Elephas maximus indicus: one gene and its partners. The protein of the gene in region 3 interacts with the protein of the main gene of each other region in a pairwise test. Links are inferred from orthologs where the notes say so. Each region holds a gene or a part of one and is shown on either strand. Other genes may lie near its edges.

Evidence for each region.
Region 1: the proteins of FXR2 (region 3) and ZMAT2 interact in binary tests that used the Homo sapiens proteins (3 or more experiments, as listed by UniProt). The two-hybrid records come from large-scale screens. The link is inferred for Elephas maximus indicus from reciprocal best matches to the Homo sapiens genes FXR2 and ZMAT2.
Region 2: the proteins of FXR2 (region 3) and ARL6IP1 interact in binary tests that used the Homo sapiens proteins (3 or more experiments, as listed by UniProt). The two-hybrid records come from large-scale screens. The link is inferred for Elephas maximus indicus from reciprocal best matches to the Homo sapiens genes FXR2 and ARL6IP1.
Region 4: the proteins of FXR2 (region 3) and PRAM1 interact in binary tests that used the Homo sapiens proteins (3 or more experiments, as listed by UniProt). The two-hybrid records come from large-scale screens. The link is inferred for Elephas maximus indicus from reciprocal best matches to the Homo sapiens genes FXR2 and PRAM1.

What each region holds. Positions count from the first base shown.
Region 1 is NC_064820.1:153,927,625-153,934,704, forward strand, and holds the start of ZMAT2 (zinc finger matrin-type protein 2), read left to right. Parts: upstream 1-4,070; 5' UTR 4,071-4,161; coding exon 4,162-4,179; intron 4,180-4,511; coding exon 4,512-4,605; intron 4,606-5,681; coding exon 5,682-5,805; intron 5,806-7,080. Other genes in the region: histidine--tRNA ligase, mitochondrial, read left to right, coding at 70-163, 477-604, 697-939, 1,100-1,216, 1,437-1,583, 2,005-2,064. UniProt on the Homo sapiens protein: Involved in pre-mRNA splicing as a component of the spliceosome.
Region 2 is NC_064830.1:78,618,491-78,626,148, forward strand, and holds the start of ARL6IP1 (ADP-ribosylation factor-like protein 6-interacting protein 1), read right to left. Parts: upstream 3,020-7,658; 5' UTR 2,933-3,019; coding exon 2,897-2,932; intron 842-2,896; coding exon 708-841; intron 1-707. UniProt on the Homo sapiens protein: Positively regulates SLC1A1/EAAC1-mediated glutamate transport by increasing its affinity for glutamate in a PKC activity-dependent manner.
Region 3 is NC_064837.1:13,168,358-13,175,691, forward strand, and holds the start of FXR2 (RNA-binding protein FXR2), read left to right. Parts: upstream 1-4,319; 5' UTR 4,320-4,735; coding exon 4,736-4,816; intron 4,817-7,334. UniProt on the Homo sapiens protein: mRNA-binding protein that acts as a regulator of mRNAs translation and/or stability, and which is required for adult hippocampal neurogenesis. Specifically binds to AU-rich elements (AREs) in the 3'-UTR of target mRNAs.
Region 4 is NC_064821.1:13,197,446-13,204,443, reverse strand, and holds the start of PRAM1 (PML-RARA-regulated adapter molecule 1), read left to right. Parts: upstream 1-3,995; 5' UTR 3,996-4,249; coding exon 4,250-4,503; intron 4,504-5,288; coding exon 5,289-5,386; intron 5,387-5,983; coding exon 5,984-6,135; intron 6,136-6,579; coding exon 6,580-6,998. UniProt on the Homo sapiens protein: May be involved in myeloid differentiation. May be involved in integrin signaling in neutrophils. Binds to PtdIns(4)P.

The DNA of each region.
Region 1 (7,080 bases), on a different chromosome or scaffold from region 3:
GTGAGATGTCTTTTTCCAGTTAGAGAAGGAAGGGTCTTGAGACCGAGCTAATGTTTGGGTATTACGCAGATGTCTTGGAAAGATGTGAGACACGAGATGGTGACAAAGAAGAGCCTGGCTCCTGAGGTGGCTGATAGAATTGGGGATTACGTCCAACGTCATGGTAAGAACCAGGGTTTTCAGAGCTATGTGATAGAACCAGGGTAAGGGTGACATGTGTACAACTTCTGCCTCTGAAACTACTCCTTTCCAGAGATGGTGCAGAGCTCCAGAGCCTGGCCTGAATTTAATTCCCCTTTTACTGTAGCCACTTTGTGTTTTCAGATGGCAAAGGTAGAGGCAGAGGAGGCACCTGGTCATATGATCTTTTTTTAAGAAAATGAGTGGGTCTGGCTGGAGCACATTTAGGATAAATTTGGATGAAACACATTTAGATGAAAATAATAGGCCTTATTTTTCACCACATGTCTCCCCAGGTGGCGTGTCCCTGGTAGAGCAACTGTTCCAGGATTCCAGACTGTCCCAGAACAAGCAGGTCCTGGAGGGCCTGAGGGACCTGAAGCTGCTGTTTGAATACCTGACTCTTTTTGGAATTGCTGAGAAGGTAAGATGAGTTGAGAGTGGGCTTCCTGTTGAGCCCTGGGCTCCCAGGGTTCTAAGTCTTGTCTGAGATTGATGATAGTTTTGTCCCCACAGATCTCTTTTGACTTAAGCCTGGCCCGGGGCCTGGACTACTATACAGGAGTGATCTATGAAGCAGTTTTTCTACAGACCCCAAATCAGGCTGGAGAGGAGTCCTTGAGCATGGGCAGTGTGGCTGCTGGTGGGCGCTATGATGGGCTGGTGGGCATGTTTGACCCCAAGGGCCACAGGGTGCCATGTGTGGGGCTCAGCATTGGAGTGGAGCGGATCTTCTCTATTGTGGAGCAGAGAATGAAGGTAGGTCCTAGGTATGGGTGAATGGGGCCAAAGGCCTAAAAACCCCTCACGTTTCTGGAGGTGAAGTTGGATCATTTTCCTTACTACTCTTTATATCTTTTGGAGTTATTGATGCAAAGAAGTTCTTACTAGTTTTGCTATTTTTTCTTTCTTTTATTAGGTTTTTGGTGAAAAGGTACGGACCACAGAGACTCAAGTATTTGTGGCCACACCACAGAAGAATTTTCTCCAAGAACGATTGAAGCTAATTGCAGAGCTCTGGGATGCTGGGATCAAGGTATGGTGGAGCTGATATCCAGACCACCTAGGAATATGTGGAAGTTAATCCCAGTGTAATGTTTAGGCTGAAACTCCAGACCTTTTTAGTCTTCATTAGAGTGGCTTCTTAGGGTAGGAGGGCCAGCCACTTATTTCTGGCTCCCTTGGAAATACTTACTCCTATGATTTGTGTGCTGTGGTGACTTCTAAGCCTCCTACTCTGTCTTTACCTTTTTCAGGCTGAGCTACTGTACAAGAACAACCCTAAACTACTAACCCAGCTGCACTACTGTGAGAACATGGGCATTCCACTGGTGGTCATTATTGGTGAGCAAGAAATGAAGGAAGGGATCATCAAGCTCCGTTCAGTGGCCAGCAAGGAGGAGGTGAGTGGGGGCAGGCAGAGATAGATGGAATCAATGTTTCTACCTTTCCTGGATTCTTTAAGAAATACATATTTTCTGGCTGGAGAAATATCCCCAGGGTTAATAGGGATAGAGATGAATGAAGATCTACCCCAAATAACTATTGCAGCCAATGAGTATTGTCCAGGTAGGCAGAAGGACAGATGCAACCTGAATGCATACTTTGAGACTAATCAACAAAAGATATAGATGAGGTATTTGCATTTGAATCCCTTTACTCTTGAGGACATATGTTCTCCATGTCAACTTGAAGCACACGTTACTTCCTGTGGGTTGCTTAATTAGTGGGAGCAGATGCAGAGTAATATGAATCTAGAAAAGCAGTGGCTAAGGAGCTGGTATCACTTTTGAGCTTGTCACATGAGGGTTCTTTATGTTTCAGGTGACCATTAAACGGGAACATCTTGTGGCTGAAATTCAGAAGCGACTATCTGATTCTTGATCCTTGCCTGACTGTCATCTTCTGCTCTTCGTAGAAAAAGTTTCATCTAGGACTGAGTTCCCGATGGATATCACAACTGCTGTCCAGGATGGGTGACAAGCGCCTTCTGCCTTTGCTATCCTTCCTTGTTACAAAATTAATAGAAAGCCCTAAGGACTCCTGTGTCCGGTGGCTTCAAGTCATTAGTGTGAGCAGTTATTCTGCGTAGGGGCAGATGACTGATACTGTAAAGAGACATGTTCTAACTGCAGAGGCAGATGGCAGGTTTGAAGTGCCAACTGAATGCTGCCAACAGGTGCTGATATGGTTGCTGTGAGCCGAGCTCTCGGAGAGTCACCTCAGGCTGAGAGGACTGAGCAGTTGAGATCAGAACCATGATACTTAACCTTCCACTGCAGCTTCTGAAGCTGAGGCTGGTGAATTTGTCTGCAGCCAGCCCTTGGCCTGTCCAGGGAGTTTTTGGAGACAGCAAGAAGAGGCAGTGGTTGCTTTCTGCTAATGTCTGAAGACAGAGATGCTACACCACTGGATGCAAGACAGTAGCCAGATTGATCTGGTATCTAGCCCATCCATTGTTAACAACAGGGTGGGGCTGTCTGTTTAAGATCTTGAATGTCGAACTTAATAGGTGACTGACAAGATGAAAATCTGATCTTTTGAGATTTTGGAGATCATTTCCTGTGCCAGAGTCACCGCTCTGACTATTCCATGCCCCTTCATAGAACACTTTGCTGTCAAGTTGTCTGGGTAGGACAGAGTAGAGCTGTCCCACAGGATTTCCAAGAAGCGGCTGATGGATTTGAACTGCTGACCTTTTGGTTAGCAGCCAAGCTCTTAACCACTGCGCCACCAGGACTGCCCTTCCATAGGAGTAGCTGTTTTATAAGTGGTTGGATATGTTAAATAAAATATTAAATGTAGTAGTTTGAATAATTTGTTATCACGGGAATAGGCCATAGAAAATACTTGAGTATACACTGGAAAACTGGAACCTCCTTGGGATGATGTTTATTCGTTCAGTGAAGTGAGCAGCCACACTCTGTCGTATCGCTGAAAATCAACATACAGTGAGCCGTGTGCCAGAGTGCTTCACCAAAGAGTGTTGCTGATGAGTGACTTTCCCAAGTCCAATCATGTTCATTAAATTGTACTGTATAGGTTGAATGACTATAATGTTCCTAGCCGAAGGAAAAAATGAGTTAACCAAGGGGTGATAACATTGCTTCAGGAAAAAGAGATAAGGTGCAAAAAGTGCTTCCCATACATTTTTGACCTTTGCAAACACTTCAGCATAGCTTAGGGCCATAGCTCTAGTTTATGCAGGTGAATGGGGCATCTGTTGTTAGGTGGCCAGTGGGTTCTGACTCAACAGCAATCCCATGCACAACAAAAGGAAACACTGCCCCCTCGTGCGCCATCCTCACTATCCTTGCTATGTTTGAGCCCAATGTTGCAGCCACTGTGTCAATCCATCTTGTTGAGGGTCTTCCTCTTTTTCACTGACCCTTTACCAAGCATGATGTCCTCCAGGGACTGATCCCTCCTGATAATATGTCCAAAATACATGAGATGAATTCACGCCAGCCTGACTTCTAAGGACTGCTCTGGCTATACTTTTTCCAAGACAGACTTGTTTGTTTTTCTGGCAGTCCATAGTATATTCAATATTCTTTACCAACACCACCATTCTAATGGGGCATTTAGAGTCTCTGTTCTTTATCCTTAAAGATGGTTTAGAAACTCATGACAATGTGTGCAAAGTTGATTAGGTTAGATTAGAGGAACCTGTTTCTGAGCCCCAAGTTCCCTCGTTTGTAAGCAGAGGAGCCCCACTAAATCTCTTCGTAGCTCTTGCGAAAAACCACGCCAAAAAAAATGTTAGCAGGTGCCCTTACTTCCGTGTAGCTTCATGCTGCCCTTGCGCCTGCGCCGTCTCCTTGGAGCAGAGGCGGGGTCAACAAGCCTATTTTAGAAGCCCTCCAGTTCTTAGCAGCCTTAGAAAACGACACTCTAAGTTTATTGGAGAGCAAGTTTGCTTTACGCCCGAAGGCCGCTTTTTACGACATTTTCCAGCTTCCCATTCACTTCGCAGTGAAGATGGCGTCGGGCAGCGGGGTAAGTGCTCTGTGTGAGGGGGAGGTTTTGGGGCCTTCTCTGGGCGGAATAGAGACGGACTGCTGCACGGGACTGGCTATCCGACACCTCCTCGCGATCGCAGGGTCTGGGGTGCGTGAGTTCTTCCGTAAGGCCTGGGCGCAGGATCAGCGGCATCGCAGAGGTCTTGGGTTAGGGTCCCGAGGCCACCTCAGCCTCCTTTTACGGGTTCGGAGTGGCTTCTCTCTCGGAGGGTCCTGGGGCCACCTTGGCAACGAGGATCCGGTACTTTCAGTTTCTCTAGGGTTCCAGGCATGGTTAGCGACGGATCTTGAGTGCTTTTTTACCCACAGACGAAAAACTTGGACTTTCGCCGAAAGTGGGACAAAGATGAATATGAGAAGCTCGCCGAGAAGAGGCTCACGGAAGAGAGAGAAAAGAAGGATGGTGAGTGCTTGCCCAAGCAGGAGCCAGTGGTATCATAGTAGCGATGAAATCGGAGTGAGTGAGGAGTTAAAATGCGTTGCTTCTCCTCTTCTACTTTGTGTGACCTTTTGCGGAGCATAGTCCCCCTGATCCACGGTTTCTTTTGTATAAAGTGAGGGCGATGAGGTGGACTGAAGTGGTTTTTGAGATCCTTTCCAGCCCTGGTTGGTTCATTTGGTGCTTTCCTGATGTACAGAGCTTGGAATTCTTAGTAATGTCAGAGAAGAAGCTAAGTGGTGTGTATTGCTGCTGTGCATTACTGCTATCGAGGACTCCTTCTTTCCCTTGGAATTACTTCAAGAAGAGGAGAACATTTCTGACCCAGTCAAGACCCTCTGAGAACAGCGGAAATACTCATCAGGGAACCATGTGATTGTTTCAGCTAGTGCTTGGTAGTGCTGTTTTTCTTTGCCTTGTACAATGTCGAGGAGGTGGAGTTTCTCTCCTACATAAAGATCCCACTTGACAAAAAGGAATGTCTTATTTTCTTCTCTATTTCCAAATTTGTACATTTTTCTTCCATTGTATTCTCACATCATCTTGCTCCACAATCTCTTTCATTTTTTATGTAACATGTATGACGGTGCTTGGCCCATAACTGGTACTTCCTAAATGTTGGGTCCATTCCCCGCCCACTCTCCCTTTTATTTTGAAGCAGCTTGCAAAGGTTTCTTTCTGTGTTATGTTTAGAGTATCTGCCTGAGAGCATTACTGAGTGTCCTTGCTATTCTTTCAAAAGGTTGCTCTTTGTGCAAACTCCTCCCTTCAACTCAGTTAATCAATGAATAGAAAACACATTGCTTTTAGACTTACTGGCTTTAAACTGGAGAAAAGCTATAAGAAGTTGGGGATTGCTTATCACTTATTTCTCTGTTTAGGCTCTCCTTAGCTGCTGCTTCAAGGTGTCATTGTGTCCCTTGCTTCAGGAATCAAGAAATGAGTGTAGAGTTCTGAATTTTTGGTTTCATACATTTCTTTTTCTTTTCTGGTTGTGGAACTGTGATATCGAAGGGGCTCCCCTCCCCATTGTGTTCCAGGAAAACCAGTGCAGCCCGTCAAGCGGGAGCTTCTGCGGCACAGGGACTACAAGGTGGACCTGGAATCTAAGCTTGGAAAGACAATTGTCATTACCAAGACCACCCCGCAATCTGAGATGGGAGGGTGAGTTGCTGGTCGTCTTTTTCAGCAGCCAACAGTGGATCTAATAAACTATATTGGTTTTAGGAAGTGCTAGAACGGCCCCTGGCCTGCAGATAACAACCTGTTTGCCTGTAATTCCATTCTTAGATTTGTTTTTCTTTTAGTCTTCCAAGTTAACACGATCACGTCTCTAGGAGGGGTCACTCCATAGGCTTTGACATATTAGCACAGTAAATACTTCTTAATATCTTAAAAGAGATTATTTGTTCTCCTGCCAGAGAAAGAAATGAAGGAAACTACTGAAGAGATTTTTAGAGAGAAATTAGCTAGAGCTAGAATGGAGCCTAGGAGCTCTAGTGGTGAAGTGGTTAAGCACTTCACTGCTAACAGAAAGGTCAGCAGTTAGAACCCACCAGCTGTTTTGTGGGAGAAAGTTGTGGCAGCCTGCTACCATAAAGATTTATGGCCTTGGAAACCCTATGGGGCAGTTCTGCTTTGTCCTACTGGGTCTCTCTGAGTCAGAATTGACTGGGCAGCAGTGGGTAGCATGGAGCCTAGGAGCTGCTGATGGTGAAGAAGGGGGTTGGTATTCCAGACAGGCCACAAAGGCTGTATTCCTTATGGATTGCCTGGTTGTGCACCTTCCTCCCAGACCAAGACTATAACTTATAAGAAGGATCCCACAAGAGCTCTTCACCTTTCTCCCCATCCCTACTACTGCATCCAGTTTTTTAAGTTTTCTAGCAGGAAGGCAACACAGATAGTAATTAATGACGTGTTTAGTAAACTCCCTGTTGTCATTCCTCTCTCTATTAGTTACCTATTGATATGTAACAAATTGCCCCAAAAGGTAGCAGTTTAAACAGCATACAGCTCCCAAATTTCTATGGGTAAGTAATCTGGAAGTGGTTTAGGTAGGTGGTTTTGGCTTAATCTGTCTCAAAGCTGCAGTCAAAAGCGTTGGCTGGGACTACAGTCGTCTGAGGCTTAAATGGGATCGGAGGACCGGCTTCTAAGCTGTGTCGTATGACTGCTGGTTGGAGGCCTCAGTTCTTCACTTTATTAGCTTCTCCATAGGGCTGCTTACAACAAGGCAGCTGACTTTACCAGAGCACATGATCCAGGAGGGAGGGACAGATGGATGGACTAAGACAGAAGTGATGGTCTTTTATCACCTCGTCTTAAAAAGTGACACACCATCACTTTTTCCACTTCCTGTTGGTCTCAAGACCAACCCCGGTGCAATATGGGAGAGGAATACTCAAGTTTGTGGATACCAGGAGGCGGGGGCTGTCT
Region 2 (7,658 bases), on a different chromosome or scaffold from region 3:
GTGCTTATATAATAAAAAAAAAAAAAAATTTAATTTCAAATACAGGCAGTCCCCGGGTTACTAACATCCAACTTAACAAACCCCTACAAGCCCTATAAACCCTCCTCTCCCCGTAAAACCTATTATATTAAAAATTCGAGGTACATACAATGGTTCCTAATAATAAACAGGTGCTACTTTGCAACACGCATCAAAACATTATTATTACCGTATTATTACGTTAAAGACATTTTAGTGTATCTGGAAGTGTGTCTTTAATGTTTTTACGCAAGAAAGGTACATTATGTACTCTATACTAGCAGAAACATTTGGCTAACTGAAGTTAGATACAAACTGTACCTAACTGTTCCAACTTATAAATTTGACTTAAAGACTGACTTCGGACAGGAACTCATTCCTAATCCAGGGTCTGCCTGTACAGTAAAAATCAATAGACAAAAAGGTCTCTGGGGTCCTCGACAATTTCTAAGAGTATAAAGGGTCTTAAGGCCAAAAAGTCTGAGAGCCACTGATTTATTTAACTGCATTAGGTTACGAGTTTACATAAATACAAGTTCTGAAAACTAGGCAAACTGCTCTAAGAAAGAAATGGCATTCTCTACAGAATATACGTAAGATTTAAAACACTTTCATAAACGGAGGCTGTGCATTACCTGAGCCCTTATTAACAGCAAGCACACACCACAGTAACGCAATAGCTCACTTACAGAAATACCAAAGAAACCACGCCCATGATAGCAGGTGGAAACCAGGCTCTTTCCCATCGGAGGACTTTGTCGGCCATCAGCATCACTTCTCCCCAGCCTTGCAGCTGCTCTTCCAGACTTGCTGTCTCTGCAGCCTACATATCATCAACATTCAAAGCGATCACTTTACCAATCTCAACATTTCTGTGATTCCTAGGGAGTTAAATTCTTCAAAGGTACCAAATATGTAAAATCGCTACCTCACAATTAGTTTCTGAAGACCCTGTAATTTTGGTTTCACAGAAGGAAACCAAAGGGGGAAAACCTATCGCTTAATGGTCCCATTCCAAGTCCAAGCACTGGGCTACTTTACATACATGATGTAACACCATGTTACATAGAGCCCTTGAGGTAGGGACAATTAGGTCTATTTTACAATTAAAGTGAGCTCAGAATGTTAACTTTCCCAGCCTCATACATTACTAAGTGGTAGCGCCCAGAGTATTTATAAAATCAGATCACTTAAGGTTCACTCATTTCAGGTGCTTAGAGTTGATCTGTTGTTCTTGTCGTTTCATTGATTGAAACCCTTAGTTCGAAATGCATTAGGAAAGCCTCTCTCTGAACAGCATTCAACTCCTAAAATAGTTTTTTGGGTAATGGAATCACGTAGATGTTGCCATCATTGTACAATCAAGGAAAACTACTTTTGCCTAATTATATGTGGCATTTTAAGCTCAATATATCTCCTCAATACTGTTATTTATTAGGACATTCTGGTTAGACTTCAAATTCCTCTGCAAATCTGGCAATTGGCTGAAAATGGACCTCTAGGATGAGCTAATGCGGCAAAAGCCCTTAAATTGATTTTGGTAAAAGAAAAACAAATTGAAACAGAACACCTAAGCATCCTTATAAATGTCATCACTAGGAAATAGGGAAATGACAGGGGGCAGTTCTGCTTAATCTCAATAAAGATGCTATTCATGCCACATTGCTCACTCAGGTGACCTGAATGTTTCTGACTTTAGGCATTTTATATGCTTATACTTCAAATAATCCTTCCAACAACCCTAAAAGGAAGGTGTTATTATTCCCATTTTACAGATGCAGAAACTGAGATACATACACAGAGATGAACAGATTTGAACCAAGGAAACCCAAGGCCAAAGGCTCTGCTCACATTACAAGTTATTCTGCTCTGCTGGAAAAGAGTAGTTGAGTGCGGGATTCCAAGGTCTAGACCAGAATCTGTCATTTCAACAGCTGTGTGAGTTCTTTGTGCCTCAATCTTCTTAAAAGGCAGCCCAGAAGTTGTGTGCTCTGTATTTTTAAGGGGGCAGGCCATGCATTTCTAAAAACCACTACAAAGTGAAAATCATGCACAATCAAAACTGCCTGGGGCAAAGTCACTTAATTCGTTAGCACCTGGACTGTTTCAAAAACAGATTTAAATGCTTCAGTTCCTCTTTTCTTTGCTGTGTGGTGTGGCCAGCCTTTCCCGGGAGTAGGGTAACGGACAAAATCCAAGATTTCTCTCTTGTTTTTGCCTAGGTCTTGCAGTTAAATTTGTGAGCCTGGGATACAACCCCACTGTAGTTCCTTCAGGTTCCTGCTTATTCTAAAGTTGTCTCCAGCCGCCCTATGACCCACAGCCTTTCAAAGTCCAGGCAAACGCCAAATCGTCCTATTGTCCTTCCAGCTGGACCCCACTCCCAGTTCCCTGCGGTGACCTCGGAGCCTCGCTGCCGTTTTAAGTTGTGCCAGCTTTAAAAGAAACTGGGCAGCAGCCCTTTGACCTTCCACCTCTGTCCCAAGTATTAGAGAAAGAGAAAAAAGCTACATTCCAGTCCGGGTAATACCAAAGAGGGGGAACCCCAAATCCGCCTGGGGCCCCCGCGCCCTCCGCCCGGCCTGCACCCCGGCTTCCCTGCCGATCCCCCTTTCTCACATTTCCTCCCCAACCCCCAATCGCGGAGACAAATCACGCGCCCTTCTCGCCCTGTCGCGCACCTTCCCCAGCTAACGACAGGGGTCAATACGACCAGTGACCGCCACCCAGGAAGCCCGAGAGGCAGGCAGCGTCGCCTGCGCCTGAGAGCTGGGCCCGCCGCGAGTGACATGAACGAGGCCGCTGCAGTCGCCGGTTTGGGCCCGCCGAAATCCGGAAGCCCTGCTCAGTTTCCTCGCGATGGGCCGCCGCTACTCACCAGCAGGTTGGTGCTGCGATTATCGCCCTCCGCCATCGTCCCTGAGGTGCCGCCTAAGCCAGCTCAAGGCTCCTTCCAGAAAAACCTCGCCCCGAGCTTTCACGGCGACCTCAGCGCCAGCGTACGGCCCGCAAGTGCTTATATAGGCAGGCTGCCTTTCCCGACAGCCTCCGCGAGGCTCCCTCCTCATTGGGCAGATCGAGCTCAAGCCGAAGGGTAGCCGGACCAACCGTTGCCCAGCGCATGGCTTGAAATCGAGGCCAAAGGAGAGACAGGCTGAGGCGGCCGAGGAGGCTGGGACAGGGAGTAGCCAATCAGCGCCCAGGAAATGTGCTCGGCCCACCCTGAGCTCTAGGAAGCGGTTGAACGGTCGTTGCCAGGGGCTTGTTTCAGCGTTGGTATCCCTGTAATTGACGCATGGGCAGCTCTCGCACCCTCTTCCCCTGAGCCCCAATGCGGTTAAGGAGCCCCTCTGCTGTGCAGGGCCAGGCGGAGAAGGGGATGTGGCCCTTAACCTCGTTGTGGTTAGGGCGGTCGGTGGGCACCGGAGCCCATCAGACCAGTACCCCTCCACGGCCCCGCCTAAAAATCCCTTCTCTCTTCCCCTTGGTATGTCACTGAGCAGTTCAGCTCAGATTTGTGACTTGTGCCCACATCGTGATTTTTTTGTGGACAAGTAAAAGCATTTACATAGATTTTGCTGCAATTTTTCTCTCCTACCGAGTTAGCGATAAGGCCTTGGCTTGGGGAAAAAAAGGGTGGTGGAGAGGGGTCGTAGTCTCTTGAGAACCCGTGAAAAATGCACCGATTTATAAAGTTGGCTTATTTACATGAGGACTTTGGGGGAAATTGTGGAGCGTTTTCTTAGAGAATCTATACGCTCCATCTCCAAAAAGGGATTGGTTTTACACGAGAGGTCATGTTAAGATGTAAACCCCTTTACAAGCAATTTAGGAAGTAGAACTATGAGAGACACTTTTAAGTCTTTTTCTATCTAGGATTTCAAAATGTATTAACAAGTGCTTTGATTATTATTCAATACCAAAAAAAAAAGTTGCCTGGTCAGATGTTGTTTCAGGTAAGTTAACCACAGTGTTTAACTTCCAACTTTTATCCTTTTTTTTTTCTTTTAAGCATATTCATTAATTACCAGGTTCTTAACAGTTCAAAGAAAGGAAGGCAAAAAGATAGGTGAAAGAACATAGTTCGGACCACATACTGCCTCAAGAAAGCCAGGCAGAGGCAGGAGCATTGCGAATTTCATGGAAAAAAGGCTATGAAATTTTCTGTGTATCTTGGAGAAAAAATTAAGCATTTGGGTCTGATAAAACACTTGCGAAACAAGCTTTGCAAGGAAAAGGAACTCCCCAGTAAGTTCTCCTTTGGGAGATGTTGAGGAAAAAAATACAGACCCCATTTAGGGGTATTTGAAAGCTATGGAGTTTGAGGGGCAGGCCCTCCCCCACCTCTTCAAAAGAAAGATAAAAGGCAAAAGGACCTAAACAATCAGCAGCAATTCACATAATTAGTAAAAACTATGAGTGCACAATCTCACTGTAGGCTCAGCAACACCCACATCCAGAGAAGACATAGAGCTTTTAGTAGGCTTTAAAAGCTGACATTTCTTGAGAAATCCGCTTTTGCTACCAAATGCTTCTGGTTTCACCCAAGTTCCCTGTGTACTGCTTAAGAAGGCTTTCTTAAAACCAGATTGTGAAAGTGAGGCAGCTGGAAAAAAAAAAAAAAAAAAGACAACTCAAAGAGCATGGGTTCTCCAAGGAGTATTGTTACTCAAGGAATGTGTTCCCAAACCTATTTCCAAATTCACAGCCTAGGGGCACTGCTATACAGTCTGTCACTAAGACTTTGAATTGGCCTAATTAAAAACAAAAACTACACAGTAGCTTTCCTTCTGAGCTGTATCTGTACTCTAGACAGGATGTGAGCTTTTGAAATATGCCACGTGACTGAGCAATTAACACAAATCCTGTTGCTTTTGTTAGTCGCCACTGAGTCGACCCCATGTGCAACAGGAAATGTCCTCCAGTCCTGTGCTATCTCCCAATTGTTAGCATGCTCAACATGCTTGAGTCCCTTGTTGCTGCCACTGTGTATTTTGAGTGAACTTCCAACCCAAGGGACTCATCTTTCAGCACTGTATCAAGACAATATTCTGTTGTAATCCACAGGGTTTTCATTGGCTAATTTTCGGAAGCAGACCACCAGGCCTTTCTTCCTAGTTTCTTAAGTCTGTAAGATCCACTGAAACCTGTCCACCATGAGTGACCCTGCTGGTATTTGAAATAACCAGTGGCAGAGCTCCCAGCATCATAGCAACATGCAAGCCACCACAGTAAGGCAAGCTGGCAGATGGGTGGTAGTAACATCTAGCACCAAGAAATGTCAACTTCAAATACCAAAACAAGTTGGGCATTTTAATGCCATTTTTCTTCAGAACTTTCACATCCGAGGGAATATACACTTCACATCTTCTTTTATGCCAGTAATGACCTTTGGGAGTATTGTTATGAAGTACTGCCAAAATTAAGCTTAATCAAATTGATCCTTAAGACTAAGAACTTTCCCATTGAAGTAAAATTTCCACTGCTGTTCAATTATAGAACTTTGAGGGTAAAAAAAAATTTTTTTAAGATATTGCTGCTTTAAAAAAAAAAAAAAAAAGGCAACCCATGTCCCAAAGTAGAATCTACTTTGACCAATAAATTCAGAGCTTAAATGCTACATCTTTTGAGACTGAACCTTTATTTTTTTGAAAAACAGGTATTTCATACAATCTTTGCCATGTTAATGCAAATCTGCACGAAGTAGGCAGGTATTTTTGTTTTCCAAAAGATGCATTATGAACATTTTCAGGAAGCTGGTGTGATTTATTCAACTTTTAATCTTAAATACAATCACAAAATTATATCCATCAGGAGGCATTACCACCTTTTGTACAGAGAAGCCACTTCTTTCATTTATTTATACAATGTTACTAGGACAAGGAAGATTCAGTTCAACTCAATTTGCTCTTATAAGGGTAAAAAGTAAACAAGTATGATGTCACTGCCACTGACATTACAGGTGGAAATATAAGGAAAATTTAAACCAGAAAAATAACTGACAAAAGAACTTTAAATAGGAGCTCAAACTTTGCCAGGGGCGGAAAAAAAAACAGCAAAACAATATATGTAATCAGCCTGTTTTAAAAGAAAAACACTCTATAATTCTGCATTTCAGAACAACATGCAATTCCTTAAGCTTACCATCTTTTAAAAAAAAAAAAAAAAATCAAGCTATTTTAGGGCCTTTGTATGTTACTTAGCACAACAATTTTTCCCTAGTAAGTTCAGCCAAATTCCCATGGAAAGCAGGAGACTCTTAAGTGGTTCATGTTGTACAACTAACCTTTTTGGACCTATCAAGCTTCTCTCGATTAGAGTCAATTTGCCCTTTTGTAAATAAGGAACGGTGACATTGCTATCCGGGCCAAAAAAACAGGAAAACTGGAATAGATCCTCAGAGTTTCATAATGCCATGCATTTCCCCTCCCCAATGTTTGCAAAATGTTGTGATGCTAGCTAGTTTTTTCCCATAGGAAGAACCTTCCTGATACGACCCAAATATTGAAAACAAAATTTACTTGCTTTAGTTGACCCTTACGTTAATAATATATTCTACCTCCTTGATTTAAGGGAGGGATGGGGGAGTGGGTTTCTAAATTACTGGCATTTTACAAGTCCAACAAGATACAGAATGGAAGGACATTGGTTTTTATCCTCATGTAATTTTCTGTAACAAAGATACTTAAATGTGCTAAAAAAAAAAAAAAAAAAAAAACCTTCACTGATTTTTGATGTATGTATATGAATAGAACCTACAGGCTAATTATGGGTGTTTTCTTAAATAAGAATTGAGAACACAAGAGGAACCAGCTCCTTTGATTTTAGCACTGCCAAAACAAGTAAGCCCCTAGAGTAACTACAAAAATGTGGGGCAAAATAGGCCAGGAAGACTTTCCCATTTAAAGTACTGCCTATAATACCCCAGATTAAAAAGAACCTAAGATTGCACATCAACTCTAATATTTGGCTGTACTTGCATTGCCCTGCTCAGCATTTTTTAATGGCTCTTTCCTTAAATTTCACACATTAGAACAACCACAATTAAAAAACAAAACAAAACAAAAAATGCAGATAACACCAAACATTGGACGATATTAAGAAAACTACTCCTTAAGTAACAGAGGCAAGTGTTAAGGGCAGAAGTGATCAAAGTGTTTCTTTGTATGACAAACTATGGCCCTAAACCTGGGGTTTGGGCTCTAAGAAAGCAATTTAAGGAAGCAGATCAAGAGCCTGATTATCAGTTGTCACACAGAAATCTTACATAAAACAACTCACCACAAGTACTCAGACACAAAAGAATCTTCATATTATCACCTAGCAAACTAAGAACTCATGACCAGACACGGCAAGACAAACCAAAGAAAGAGTAAAAGAGAAACACAGACAGCTCCATAAACTGCTACGCCGCCAGAGCTTTGTAGACAAAAATCAATTTTAAAAATCAGGTAAATCTAGCAAATTAAACACTGAAGATAAACTTCTGTTTCCAAGGGTACTTTCAGTAGAAGCGGTTGTTTGAAAGTTATTCTGTACCCCTGAATCTTAGAAAGACAGACAGGGAGGGAGAGAAAAGGGGATGGGTGACAGAAAAAGAACACAGGAGAAAGAGAGGATCCCTGGTTTTCCACAGGTAT
Region 3 (7,334 bases):
TTAAAATAGAACACTAAAGTACTGATTGGAAACTGTGTGTGTGTATAGACTGAAAAATTAATAGGGTCCATGTTGGAACTCTGAACTATACCAGTATTTAAAGGCTTGGCAAAAGAAGAGGTGCTTCTGAGAGCAACTGAGGAGGAACAGCAGAAACTAGGGTGATAGAAATGGTAAGAAGACTGTCATCAGTGATTCTGATAAGAAGCAGGAGGAGTTAGAGAAGTTAAATGGGGCAGATTATCAAGAGAAGAGTGCTGGCTGTCAGACTAAAGAGTTTGGGTTTGACTGTTAAGCAGTAAGGAGTGACTGAATTTTGTTATAGAAATTTCACAAGTGCCAACTTCCAAGCCTCTGGCACCAATGGTCCTCTCAGGTTTGACTTTTCCTCTATCTGCTCTAGTCTTTGTTCATTCAGGTAAAGGATGGGAGTGGGGAAAAAGGAGAGCAGCATTTCAGACAGGGGCCTGGCATGTGCAGAAGGCCTAGAGGGCAGTATGTAGTGCGTTTGAGGTACTGAAAAGAATCTGATGTGGCTGCAACAGACTTGGAGAGGAAGCATGGTTAAGATTGGCTTGAACTAGAGCTTGGAGGGCTTGAAATGTATTTAGAAGTCCGTGCTTTCTGAAAGCACTTTAATTTTCTCCTACAACTTTATGACTAATATGGTGATGATTCCCACATCTACCTCTCTAGTCCAGGTCTACCTGCAGGACATTGATTCCCTGTACAGGGTATACAATGGTGGGGACAAATAGACATAGAACCCAGTCTCTGATCTCATAGAGCTTACAGTGTGGTGGCTGAAGAAAGACGAGACTGAAATAATGCCCAAATTATTACATTACAACCATGACGAGTGCCATAAAGTAGTACAGGATGTTTCGACAGTGTAAAACAGGGGACCTAACCTAGTGTGGGCAATAGTGGAAGGCTAAGAAAATTATATTTAAGCTGGTATCTGAAAGAGAAATTTGTTGAAGGTAAGGGAACATCTCTACCTCGATGGCCCTCAGGTGCTCAAACTTAAGGAGTTCAAAGCCAAATTCATTAAACTCATCACCTTCTTCTCCAAACCAATGCCTCTGTGTTCTCTTTTCTGTGGTCGGCATCACTATTCAGCATGTAACCCAAGTTAGAAATCTGAGATTCGTCCTGTGTTCCTGCCACTTCTTCACTGACCACACCTTACTCCACCTTCCATCACCAATTCTTGTTGATTCTACCTCAAATCTAACAGGTTGTACCTAACAGCCTGTACCTCTGTTGCCCATAGCCCTAATCCAGGTAGGTCTTCTTCATCACTCTTACTGGCAACAGCTCCTTCCAGGTCTCAGGGCTTTCAGGACCACCTTTACACTTCAATTCATTCACCACAGTTGTAAAATGCAAATCTTATCATATAATGCTACTCAGGGGTGGACTACACAAGGTAAGCATGGTGTTGCTTTCCTTACCAGATCGTCTTTAGTGAACAATTTTACATTTTTTCGCCACATCAAAGAGTCTGCTTTTAGGTATGGCTGGCATCTGTCTCCCAACCCCACAGCACTTTGTACAGAATCAAAGCCTCTTTTTAAATTACAATCCCTGACAGGGGTGCATAACCCAGTAAGCAAGGTAAGCACGGGCTTACTTGTGCTTGCTTACTAATCTATAGTGAACAATCTCACATGAGATTCAAATGTGGAGAAACCCATGTGAGATTGTTCACTACAGATGATCTGGTCGGTAAGGTAAGCACCATGCTTACCTTGCTTATTGGATAATCGGCCCTGATGCTACCGCCTAAATTCTTTCAATGGCTACCATTATTGATAAAATAAAAGCTGTTCTCCTTAATCTGACTTACAAGTCCTTTACAGCATAGCTTCCTGCAGTTCCCTACTTCACGCCAAATGCTAGTTTAAGCTACTTGAAGGACAAGCTCTTTCTGCTCCTCTGCACATTGTATTCTTTATTCTGTCAAGAATACCCTTAACACACTTTTCCTCTAGCAAACTCCTACTCATGCCTCGAATCTCAATTTGCATCACCTCCTCTGTGTGGTCTGCCCTGACAACTCTTAAGAACAACTGACCATTGTCTCCTGGGGCTTCCCTCTATACCTAGTCCTCATCTCTATCACATCTTCAATCACATTCTGTGCATTTGTTTAAATATTTGTCTGCAGCGCAGTGAATTACTTAATATGGCCCTTCTAGCCACAGTCCGAAGGAGCCCTGGTGGTGCCGTGGTTAAAGCACAAGGCTGCTAAAAGTTGGCAGTTTGAACCCGCCAGTCACTCCACAAGAGAAAGATGTAGCAATCTGTTTCTGGAAAGATTTATGGCCTTGGAAACCCTATGGGGAAGTTCTACTCTGTCCTACAGGGTCACTATTGATAAGAATCAGTTTGAGGAGCCATAGTCTTTGTAACTCTCACCAAATTACTGGGTGAGGACAAATGAGGTGCTTGTGGCCCACCAAGGGGATTGGATAGCTTGCTAATAACTAAGTCAGGTGCATGGCACCCTTGTGGTGGGTGGGGCCATGCAAATAAGGTGTATGGAAACCTAACAAGGGGATTGGTCAGTTTTGCCAGGCTTAAAATGAGCCATCCCAGAGGTGGGAAGGAAGCATCTCACCACCACCAAGAAAGAAGAGCCAGGAGTAGAGTGTGTTCTTTGGACCTGGGACCGCTGCACTGAGAACCTCCTAGATCCAGGAGACAGAGATAGAGAGCTGTAACGGGAGCCCTGGTGGCACAGTGGTTAAAATGCTCAGCTGCTAAGGGAAAGGTCAGTGGTTTGAACCCACCAGCTGTTTTGCGGGAGAAAGATGTGGCAGTTTGCTTTGGTAAAGATCTACAGCCTTGGATATCCCTTGGGGCTCGCTATGAGTCAGAATTGACTCACTGGCAATTTTTTATCTTTTGTAATTTTTGCAGAAGCCGTTCGCCAGGCTGTTTCTTCCGTGGTACTGCTGGGTGGGCTTGAATCATCAACCTTTAGCTTAGTCTGAGCACAGACTGAACATCCAAAACCCAAAACCCGTTGCCATTGAGTCAATTCTGACAAATAGCAACCATAGGACAAAGTAGAACTGCCGGATAGGATTTCCAAGACTGTAATCTTCACTGAAGCAGACTGTCACATCTTTCTCCTGCAGAGCGGCTGATGGGTTTGAACCACTGCTCTTTTGGTTAGCAGTAGAAAGCTTAGCCACAGCACCACCTTAAACCAAACTTACCCACACCACCTGTTGCCGTCCAGTGGATTCCGACTCATAGTGACCCTATAGGACAGAGTAGAACTGCCCTATAGGGTCTCCAAGGAGCGGCTGGTGGATTCAAACCGCAGACCTCTTGGTTAGCAGCCGAGCTCTTAACCACTGTGCCACCAGGGCTCCAATACATTAAAAAAAAAAGGAAAAACCCGTTGCCATGGAGTCAATTCGGACCCATAGCGACCCTATAAGATAGAGTAGAACTGCCCAGTGGGGGCTAAATAAATGTTCACTAAATAATGAAGTGCACAACGCACGACTCTAATTTCTGTGCTCTTTAACTCACTTCTACCTAAATTTCTCACTTGTCTCAGCTCAAGAATCCGAAGTTTTCCTCATTCTACCCTTAAAAAAAAAAACCCTTACTCCCCGGCAATTCTTCCTATTTTGAATTTTCTCAGCATTTAGATATAAGATTTTGTGCCAATCTAAGTTCCATTTCCCAGTGTTGCCCTGAAATTATTCTGTAATCTTTCATTATATGCATGACCAGGATCTCCTTGTATTCTCAAGGCAAGAACCGTAACTCTTAAGTCTCCTATAGCACAAAGTTGTAGGAGCGTAAAAGAAATTCAAAACACGCTTGTGGACAGCGCACGCGCATCAGGCACTTTTTGGCATTCCGACCCATTTTTTTTTTTTTTTTTTTTTTCTTCCTTTGGAGCGTGCGCACCAAGAAAGACAAAAGGTGGGGAAAATGACCAAGCAGTCATTCAGGCGCATGCCCAACTCTAACATAGCCAAGCCAAGTGGGGCTCCTAGTGGTGAAGCGGCTGTGGTATGACCAGAACCAGCAGAAATCCAATCCGACTGAGTGAGCTTGGTCCCTCCCTTCCCATGATTGGCTAGCTCTCAGTGTTGTGGGGCGGGGAAAGGAAGAGATGGAGTGTGGAAGAGAGGGGGGCGGGGACAGTGAAGAACGCTTAACTCGTTCTGCGCAAGCGTAAGTCAGCGACCAGGAGGGGGCGTGAGAGAGTGAAAGGGAGTGTGGAAGTCCCGATGCGCTGGCGAGCGCGAGCGGGGTCGCCAGCCTTGACGCCTGCGCCGTGGCCCTCCCGGCCCCGCGCGCGGCGGGCGGGTGCCCGGTGCGCCTGCGCAGTAGGCGGCGGCGGCAGAGGGAGGTGGAGGCCGTGGAGCGGCAGCGGCAACAGCGGGTCCCGGGACTGAGGCGGCAGCGGGGGCGGCGGCGGGCGGAAGCTGAGGTGACGAAGGCAGCGGCGGCGGCGGCGGCGGCAGCCGTTTCCCTCACGGTGGCGGAGACCAAGGCGGCGGCGGCGGACGGGGAGCGGCCCGGCCCCGGCCCCCTGCTCGTTGGCTGTGGCAGGGCCGCCGTGGGGCCGGCCCGGCTCCCGCCCCCCGCGGCTCCCCCTCCGGCTCCTCCTCCGGGGAGACGCCGGGGGCCCGGCCCGGCCCGGACTCAGACCACTGCTGCAGCCGCCGCCGGGGCAGTCGGAGGCGGTGGCGGCGCCATGGGCGGCCTGGCCTCTGGGGGGGATGTGGAGCCGGGACTGCCCGTCGAGGTGCGTGGCTCCAACGGGGCCTTCTACAAGGTGAGGCGGCGCGCCGATCGGGGACACCTGCCTGTACCCCCTCCCCCAGCCAGAGCAGGGAAGAGCAGGGCGGGATCGAGCTCTGGAGCCGAGTCCTGACCCCTAGAACCTTAGACTCACGCTCCCACCCTCAGCTCTCAGGGGGAGACCTCTGGGAGTTAACCCTCTTCCTCTTGTTTTTGACCCTCTATCACACCCGCTTTTTATCTCATGTCAGAGAGAATGACTGTCAGGGCATTGTTGTGTCTGAATTTGTGTCTCTCTCCTCCCCCCAGAAAACAACTCCGTTTACCCAGCTTATTGACTTTTTCTGTTTCACAGTAGAAGACAGACCTTAGAATAGCATTTCTCCACAGCCTGAGCACATGTAGAATTCTCTTTCTTCTCCCTCCTTCCCCCATGGGAAGGCTGTCCCATATTAGATCGTTTCATCTTCCTCTGAGAGACCTCTGCCCACTGGCTCTGGGAAACCCAACCCATTTTCACCTTGTATTCCTGTTGCCAGCCTGAGGAGAAACGGTCAAAATTCATTTATGGTATTTGGCATCTTTGACCTCAGGAACTCTGGATTATTCCAATCCAGTTGCCCCCCAGCCATAAGGTGGCATCTTTTCCCAGGCCTCTCACCCCACCCATTTATCTTAGGGCCAGTTGGTCTACTCTTCTACCAGGAATTAACTTGCATTAGTTATTTCACTTTGACCTTACGTATGTTTAGATCATCCGTAGTTTTTCCATCTTCATGAACACTAAAAGGGTCCCTTCTGTTTATCCTCTTCTTAAAGATTTCCACTTTTAGAAGACTTTTGGCCAGCTCTCCTAATTTGAGAATCTGACAGCAGTCTTTTTGGGAAGGAGAAGGGGACTAGCTTTCAAAGACCCTTGCTTATTTCAGTCCACTCCCCCTCTTCCAGAGTTTGATTCCACAGAAGTTCTGAATTTTCAGTTTTTCCCATTTAGACTAAGCCAGAGGGAGACCCTTTTTGCTTCCCAAGAATTTTTCTTTGTGTAACCATTGTTATTCTGAACCTCTCTGGACCTTACGCCTGGGATTGTCTAGAGACTTCCCTGATTCCTGTCTGTATCTTTCATGTCGCCCTGAAGAGCTGGGAAGAGATATCTTCTCAGGACATCGCTTGTAGTGAAAAGAGCCTCTTTTGCTCCACTTTCCCTCAAATCTTTTCTCCCACAGTAGACATCTATACCTTCATGCCCTTGGAAATGACTTTCTCCAACTCCTCTGTGAAGTCATATCTCACTATAACTGGAAAGGGTCTCATATTTGCCCTTGGAGTGGATGGTTTCTGCCCCAACTTCAATTGATAGGTTCAGTGTACTCATTACGTCCCCACTCTAAATGCCTATCCATTTCTGCCTTACTCCCTTCACCAGATTTCTTTATATCCAGTAACTGTGGGTACCCCTATTTGTCTATCTTAACTTTCTCAATTCACTTTTTTGACTTTTATTGTAACATTTCTATACTCCTCCGTTATCCTCAGGAACCACCTTATTCCTAGCCAGCGGAAGGAAGCTCCAGCTGATCTCTTCTGTCATCTTTTTCTCCATACTTGCCTACTCTTGGGACATTTTCTTCAAGCCTGCCCCTGTAATAGCGTTTCTGTTTTCCTTGGCAGAAAGTCTCTCATTTCTGTCTGGTTCTGATAGAGCATACTTGCCTCTTATATTCTTTCCCCCGAATTCATATTACCGTTGCCGAAATACCCTTCCTCATTAGATGTTAGCCTCACTTCCCCTAGTCATTCATCTGGGTCCTTTCTGGGTTCCAAGAAAGGTGATTCTTAAATTGAGTCTGAGATGAAGCTGTGATGTCTGTTTCTGTTCTAGGAAGCGTGGGAGCCAAGCACAGCTGGGAAAGATTGAGTATCCAGTTCAAATTAACTGTATGACATTGTTGGAAAGGGAGATATTTCACTTTCCACATACAAGTGTTCAACAGAGAGTCTGTCTCTGGATCTTTCCCACTTCTTCTGTGGGCTATGGGAATGACAGGCTTTTTGAGTGAATTAGGGACAGGATACTTTGATTTAGAGAGTAGAATTTGGACTTGAGCTAGAAGTCAGGTGATGTGGCTACTTTAGCATTTGTTGCCCCAAGGCCTCAGTTAAAAACAATAAATCCCTAAATTCAGACTAATCTTTCCTCAGTTCTCAGTGCCATATAGATGCTTATCCATTTTGACCTTGCTACTGATTTAATATTCATGACTCAGCAAACTTTTGTGTGGGTCAGGGAGTATTTACACTTTTTCTAGAGCTATAAACTTAGGGAGGTCCGTTTTTCCTCTTTAAGAATTGGGTCCTACTGTTTTGATTCTCTTCTAAGAAAGATAGAGCCGCAAATGTCAGATCTAGGATCTAAGTTATCTTGTAGCTATCCCACCAACCCTTCCTGTTCTGTCAGAACTTAGTGTATTTTATTCTTAAAGTTGTACTCTTCCAAATAAGATACCTATTCACCTTCCAGGGCATAGCCATTCAACTTTCCAGATCTTGCC
Region 4 (6,998 bases), on a different chromosome or scaffold from region 3:
CGTCTCCTTCAGAGTCTTCCTCTTTTCCGCTAACCCTGTACTTCACCAAGCATGAAGTCTTCCAGGGACTGATTCTTCCTAACAACATGTCCAAAGTATGTAAGGTGCAGTTTCACCACCCTTGCTTCTGAGGAGCATTCTGGTTGTACTTCTTTCCAGACAGATTTGTTCATTCTTTTGGCAGTCCATGGTATATTCAATATTCTTCGCCAGCACCACGATTCAAAGGCATCAATTCTTCGGTTAATTCTTCTTCGTAGGTTGGTAGTTGAGAGCAAACCATTTGCACCACTCAGCCCAGGGACCTGGTTCATAATGATGTTAGGTGCTGTAGAATCGCTTGTGACTCATAGTGACCCCAGGCAATAGAGTAGAACTGCACATAGGACTTTACTGGCTGTAATCTTTACGGAAGCAGATCACCAGGTCTTTTCTCCCCTGAGGAGCCAGCTAGTGAGTTTGACCTGCTGACCTTTCAGTTAGCAGCCAAGTTCTTAACCGTCATGTCACCAGGGCTCCTTTGGAACATAATGTTGTGTGCTGTCAATTCCCATCCTATAGGACAGAGTAGAACTGCCCCATAGGGTTTTCTTGGCTGTAATCTTTACAGAAGAAGACGGCCAACTCCTTTCTACAATAGAGAGGCTGGTGGGTTTGAACCGCCAAACTTGCGGCTAGCAGCTGAGTGATTAACCTTTTCGACACGAGTGCTCTTGTGGTATGTAATAGGTGATCAAGAATTAATTGCCGAATGATCATCACGTAATTACTGTTTTCCATCACCCTACACCCAACCCTCCAGCGTCCCCCACCCTCCCCCAAATCCAGGCAACACCACTTCCCAATCTGGCGGCACCTTTCCAGAGACCCAAAGCCAGCGCCTTTATCCAGGGCCGTCCCCCCAGCCCATCGTTTCTGTGGAGGGAACCGCTCCCAGCTGCCCTCTGGAACAAGTTGGAACTGTACCGAAGGCCCCAGGAGCTGGATCAGGATCTGGCCTCCACCAACCACTGTGTTCACTCCAGCAACTACCTCCTATCCTCAAGCCTCCCCCACTCAAGGTCAACATTTGTCTGGTTTCCTGGGGAGCCTTCTGATCTGGCTCCCTTTCCTCTAGCTAAGCCGTGACCCACAGAGGTACCCCCTCCAACTCCAGGATGCCTTGGAGATGAGTCCTGTGAGGGCCGCAGCTGGGCCCAGCAAAGAACGCCCAGAAGTCTGTCCCTAGAGGGAATGAATGAGATGAGCTAGGGCATCCTGACTCCGGCAGGCGTCCAGCTTTCGCAGCTGGCCCAGCAAGGACACGTTCGCCAGCGACTGCAGGTTCACGTAGCTCAGGCTGAGCCGCTCCAGGCGGCTCAAGTCCGCTGTGAGATCAGTCAGGTGCCGGCCCTCTGCCCGGCAGTTGTCCAGCACCAGCTCGGTCACCTGCGGGTGCCGGCTCGGTTACCCGCACGCCAGGCTGGGCGCCGGGAGGTGGAGGCTCCTTCCTGGGCGCGTCCCCGGACCCTGGGTGGAGCACCCGCAGTCCCTGCCAGCCCTGATCCCGGGCTCCGGACTCTGCGCCCCCCCCCCAGGCGGCCCCCCCTACGCGCCCCCCGGATTGGCCGCCCACGTGCTCAGACTACCCCCGGCCTCGGACTGTTCGGACCACGTGCGGCTGAGCCTGGCCCTCGGTTGCCCGGGTGTCGCCACCCCTGACCCGGGCAGCCAGCCACATGGCCCCGGGCTCCTGCGCAGGGACCGGGCGTGCCAGCTTCAGCTCTCTGCGCACTTCAGGCCCCTCGCCCCCCGCGCTAGGACACCCGAGCGTCTAAGTTCCCAGGCCTGGTCCCCTCCCCAGTCCACAGTGTTCCAGGCTGCGCCCCAGCGAAACCCCGCTCCCCAAGGCGGATCCTGCCCCCTGATAACTTCTGCTGGGTTCCGATTCCGCAGCTGCAAGTGGAGCCGCTTGTCCATGTCTGGCCTCGCGGACCCAGGCCCCAGCTCCACAGGGAAGGCGCCAAACACACAAAGGGGGGGGGATACGCCCCCTGGTGGCCGTGCTGGGACCGCGCGCCCACACCTGCTTTCCCCGGCCTGCCACACGCACCGCCCGCTGGCTCCCCTGCCCACGAGTCACCAGCTGTCAGTCCTTTCGCTGACCTTGACTGAGCATCTACTGTATGCTCTTGGCCAATAATCATTTGTTCTTTTATTCATGCATTCCCTTACCAAACATTCCGTGCGGTGCTTTTCCAACCAGCCTTTGCTGGCTGAGGCTGGAGACCCAGAGGACCCTGGCTGGGCCCTGTTTGGAAGGGGCCCTACACCTGCAAAGTGGCCTGGAGGCTCCGGAATCCCGAGGCTGTGCTCTTAATGCAGACACAGAAATGAAGGTGCTGCCAGTTCCCTTCTGAAGGGCAGAGGATGAAGGCAGAAGGCACCGTCCTCAAGACAGGCCGGCTTGCCTTCCCTGTCTGCCCCTTCTTCAAATAAGCTCATTCCCACCTCACTACTCAAAGTGTGGTCTTTGAACCAGCAGTCCCGGCATCACTGGGGGGCCTGGGGAATCAGGCCCATCGTGGAGCTGAGTCAGAATCTGCATCTTAGCAAGGTTTCTGGTGCTGCTCAATGTAGCTGCAGATTAGAATCAGCTCTGCAGGCCTAAAACATCCTCGTACCCAGGCCACAGGTGGCTGGCTGGTGCGAACAGTCAAGTGCCTATTAGCCCAAAGGTTGGCGGTTCAAACCCACCCAGAGGTGCCATGGAAGTCAGGCCCGGCCATCTGCTTCCAAAAGGTCACAGCCTTGAAACCCTATGGAATACAGTTCTACTCTGCACATATGAAGCTGCTGTGAGTCGGAATCAAATCGACAGGAACTAACAACTTAAGGCAGTATTGTGGAAGAAAGTTCTGGCAATCTGCTTTTGTAAAGCTTACAGCCAAGAAAAGCCTACAGAGCAGTTCTGCTCTGTACATGTGGGGTCGCCAAGACGTGGGATCCACTGGAAGGCAACTAACAACAGCCCAAGCCACACCCAGACCAGTTAAGTCAGAATCCATGCAGGGTTTTGTCTTGTCAACTCCTCAGGGAATTCCAATGTTCTGAACTGGAGGCTTTCCCCGTGAGGTTGCAGACCTCCAAGGACAGGCCCCTGTCAGTACCTGCCTTTATCTGGCTGGACTGGTCCTTCCCATTGCCTCCAGCTCCTCTCTGCCACCTTGTTGCCCTCTGTCACCTCTGGTTCCTCCCCTTCACACTTTCAAGAAGGGAAGTGATGGGCTGGGGTGTCCTCAGGCCCCCTCTTCCCCCCTCTCCCCCCCGTGGGCAGGGCATTTGACCACTTCCATCACCACAACCAAATCCGCCACCCTGGCCAGGTCCTGTGCCAGCTTGTCTGCCCTAGCCCTCTAGCCTCGCAGTGTGACAGGGAAGTCTGGGTCCGAGCTGGGAAGCAGCTGGTGGGGAAGCGTTGAAATGCGGAAGGTGAGTGAGGCAAGAGGGCAGGCAATAGGCCTCAGACAGCACACCCCTCCCCTCTCCCAGCTCTTGGGGGCTCCCCAGGTCTGACCATGCCTTTCTCCCACCCAGGATGCCCCATCGGAGGCTCCAGCCAGGGCTGGATTCCCCTGGGGCCTTTCTCTCTGGAGGCAGAAGGCCCCCAAGGCCTGGCACTGAGTACCCCCGGGGGAGAGGGCAACAGAGAGTTAACAAGCTAGGGCCCCTGTTGGGCATGGATACTGCCCAGCACCTGAAGCTCAGGGACAGCAGCAGCAGGTGGGACAGGAACTCAAGGGGGACAGAGGTACCTGCAGGATCTAAGGACAGGCTGGGGTAGTCCCCGCCTCCTTTCCTTCCTCCTCTGCCTTCCACCAGCAGCCCCCACCCCTGAGAGCTGGCCAGAGCAGAAGCCACAGTCATTTCCTGAAGGCAGCAGCCCGGCGCGGGTCCCACGCGCCCCAGCCCGTCACCTGCCTGCAGCCATGGTGAGTCCCCAACCCCGGGAGAGCCCCATACCTGAGGTAGCGAAGGAGGAGCAATGGGTAGTAGTGGGCACATTGTAGGAGTGGAGAGCCTAGGAGTGGGGCTGAGACCCGGAAAGGGCCCTAAGGTAGGAAGCAGCTGGGCGCAGCTCCAGGGCAGCTCGGGCTCTGAGGGCAGGCCAGGCTGGGCTGTGACTGCAAGGGGGACAGGTGGGACAGCCCAGGACCACTCCCCACCTCCCAGGTCAGCATGAGCAGCAACCTGGTCACGGGAGGCCGGGATGAGAGTAGGGACTTCCTGTGGCGTGACAAAGTGGGTCATACATCATCACCTCCCATCCCCATCTCCCTTTCACCTGAATCATGACCTGCTGATCCTGATTTATCAGGCCTTGTGGTCACTTGGGAACCCTGGACTCAGCCAGCCCAGCTGGGGGCTTGACCAGAGACGGTTCAGGCCCCTGGCGGGGGTCCTCGTCTTTCCAAGGGGTGATCCGGACCCCCTGGCTCTCCCGACAGGGAGAGTGAGGCAAAGGTCAGGCCAGTCCTTCCCTCTTCCCGCTTGTTGCCTCCTCCTCCCCCAACCTTACTGACCCCCAGAAAGCCAGGCTCAGGGGTCTGATGCAGGGCCACCTGGGGGGAATTTATAGGTCAGAAAGGGCCTGCCCTACTTGGGCGCCTGCCCGTGCCTGTCGCCAGGAGCCTTCCGCAGCATTGTGGGCTCGTGCAGCGCCAGGGAGGGTGCCTGAGGTGGACTGTTTGCCGCTGCTGCCTGGTGTCTGTGACGTGTGCCTGTGCTTAGCCCAGGTCCGTGTGTCCCTCCACACATGTCCACGTGGGTCTGTAACAGACTGTACATGGTTGAGACGATACCTTTGTGCTTCTCTGTGTATTTTCATTTAACAGACATTTACTGAGCACCTACTTCGTGACAGGCACTGCGAAGATGACAGCCCTGGCGGCACTTACATTCTTCCAGGGGCGGAGGGTGGGGGTAGAGGCAAAAAAACAAACAAAACAAAAACTGTCAGGACACATAAAAAATGTGTGCGTGTGTGTCCGTGTATGTATAAAAGGCATGACACACGGTGGCAGCTGCTAAGGGAAAAATCACGTAGGTAGTACAGAAACAAAAAGAACAGCTGCTGGCACGTCAGCTCCAACTCACAGCGACCCCATGTGTGTCAGAGTAGAACACTGCTCCATAGGCCCTTTCCACAAGTAGATTGTCAGGTCTTTCTTCTGAGGTGCCTCTGGGAGGACGTGAACCACCCACCTTTTGGTTAGCAGACAAGCAGGTTAACTGTTTACACCACCCAGAAACGGCTGCCTTCGAGTGAACTCCGACTCATGGCGACCCCGTGTCAGAGCAGAACTGTGCGCCCTGGGGTTTCCAGTGGCTGATCTTCCGGAAGCAGGTCAATGAGCCTTTCTTCTGGGGTGCCTCTGGGTGGATGTGAACCACCAACCTTTCGGTTGGTAGCTGAGAATTGAACTGTTTGCGCCATTCAGGGAACTCAGTACTGGGGAAGGGGAACCAATTTACAATATGGCGCTCCGGGAAAACCTCTCTAATAAGCAAATACTGGAGGAGGAAGAGGAAAGAGCCACGTGGTGGAGAAGAGTGTCCCAGGAGAGGGGAAGGGCAAGTTCGAAGGCCCCAAGATGGGAGGGAAGGTAGTTCAAGGAGCAACAAGGGGAGTGGAAGGAGGCAGTGGGGAAGGAGGTGGCCCTGGGACTCGACGAGGGGCTTCAAGGGCACTTGGGACAGAGCCAGGGCCTTGCCGAGGCCTCTGGCGTTTAGTGGGCACTCGAGGAACCGCAGCAGGATTGGAGCAGCGGGAGCTGGGGCCTAACGGGCGTCCTGTGGCTGCTGTGGAGGGTGGGGAGGGGAACTGACGGAGGTGGTGAGGGAAGGGTGGGGGCCTGGAGGAGCCTGTTATAATCCAGGAATGGAGGCAGGGTCCTTGGGCCTGGTGACAGTGGTGAGGCTGTGAGATGTGTTTGGATTCCAGATGGTATTTGGAAGTTGGAACAGAAGGAACTGGAGAAACGGGGTATGAGAGGAGGAGGGCGTCAGGGATACCGGGAAGACACCATCACTGAGAGAGGACTGTGGGGGCAGCAGGCTGGGGAAACCAGGCAATCGGGCGCTCAGGTCCTGCTGGTGAGTGGGGGTGAGGGAGGGCATAGTTACAGGAGCCTGGAGCTCAGAGAGTCATCCTTGGGTGCTGCAAATGGTTAAGCAGCTGCTAGCTGAAAGGTTGGCAGTTTGAACCCACTCAAGGTGTCTCAGAAGAAAGGCCTGGCAATCTGCTTCCAAAAGGTCACCCCTGAAAACCCTTTGGAGCAGCTCTACTCTGCACACATGGGATTGCCATGAGTTGGAATGACTCGACGACAGCTGGTTGGGTTTTATTTTGTTTTGGGCTCAGGGGGAGGCTGAAGAAAAAAATATGGGGGATCCTTGAAAGAGAAAGGCATGAGGGCTGAGGCCAGGGAAGAGAAGCCTGGGGATGGTGATGGTGGTGCGTGTCTATGACATTGTCTATGTGTGTCCCCACGACCCTCTGTATCAGAGTCACCGCCTGACTGGCTCCGTGTCCCATAGGAGGGCCATCAGGACTTCCGGAGCCTCCAAGCAAAGTTCCAGGCCTCTCAGCCCGAGCCCAGTGAACTCCCCAAGAAACCTCCGAAGCTTGAGTTCAACAAACTGCCCAAGTTTCCACAGCCTGTGCCAGGCGAGCACCCCAAGAAGGCCTCACAGCCCGAATTCACTGATCACCCCAGGAAGCCCTCGCAGCCTGAGTTCAGTGCGGGCCCTAAGAAGGCCTCGCAGCCTGAGTTCCCTGATCACCCCAAGAAGCCCTCGCAGCCCGAGTTCAGTGCAGGCCCCAAGAAGGCCTCACAGCCTGAGTTCACCGATTACCCCAGGAAGCCCTTGAAGCCCGAGTTCATTGCGGGCCCTAAAAAGGCCTCGCAGGCCGAGTTCACTGATCACCCCAGGAAGCCCTTGCAGCCAGAGTTCAG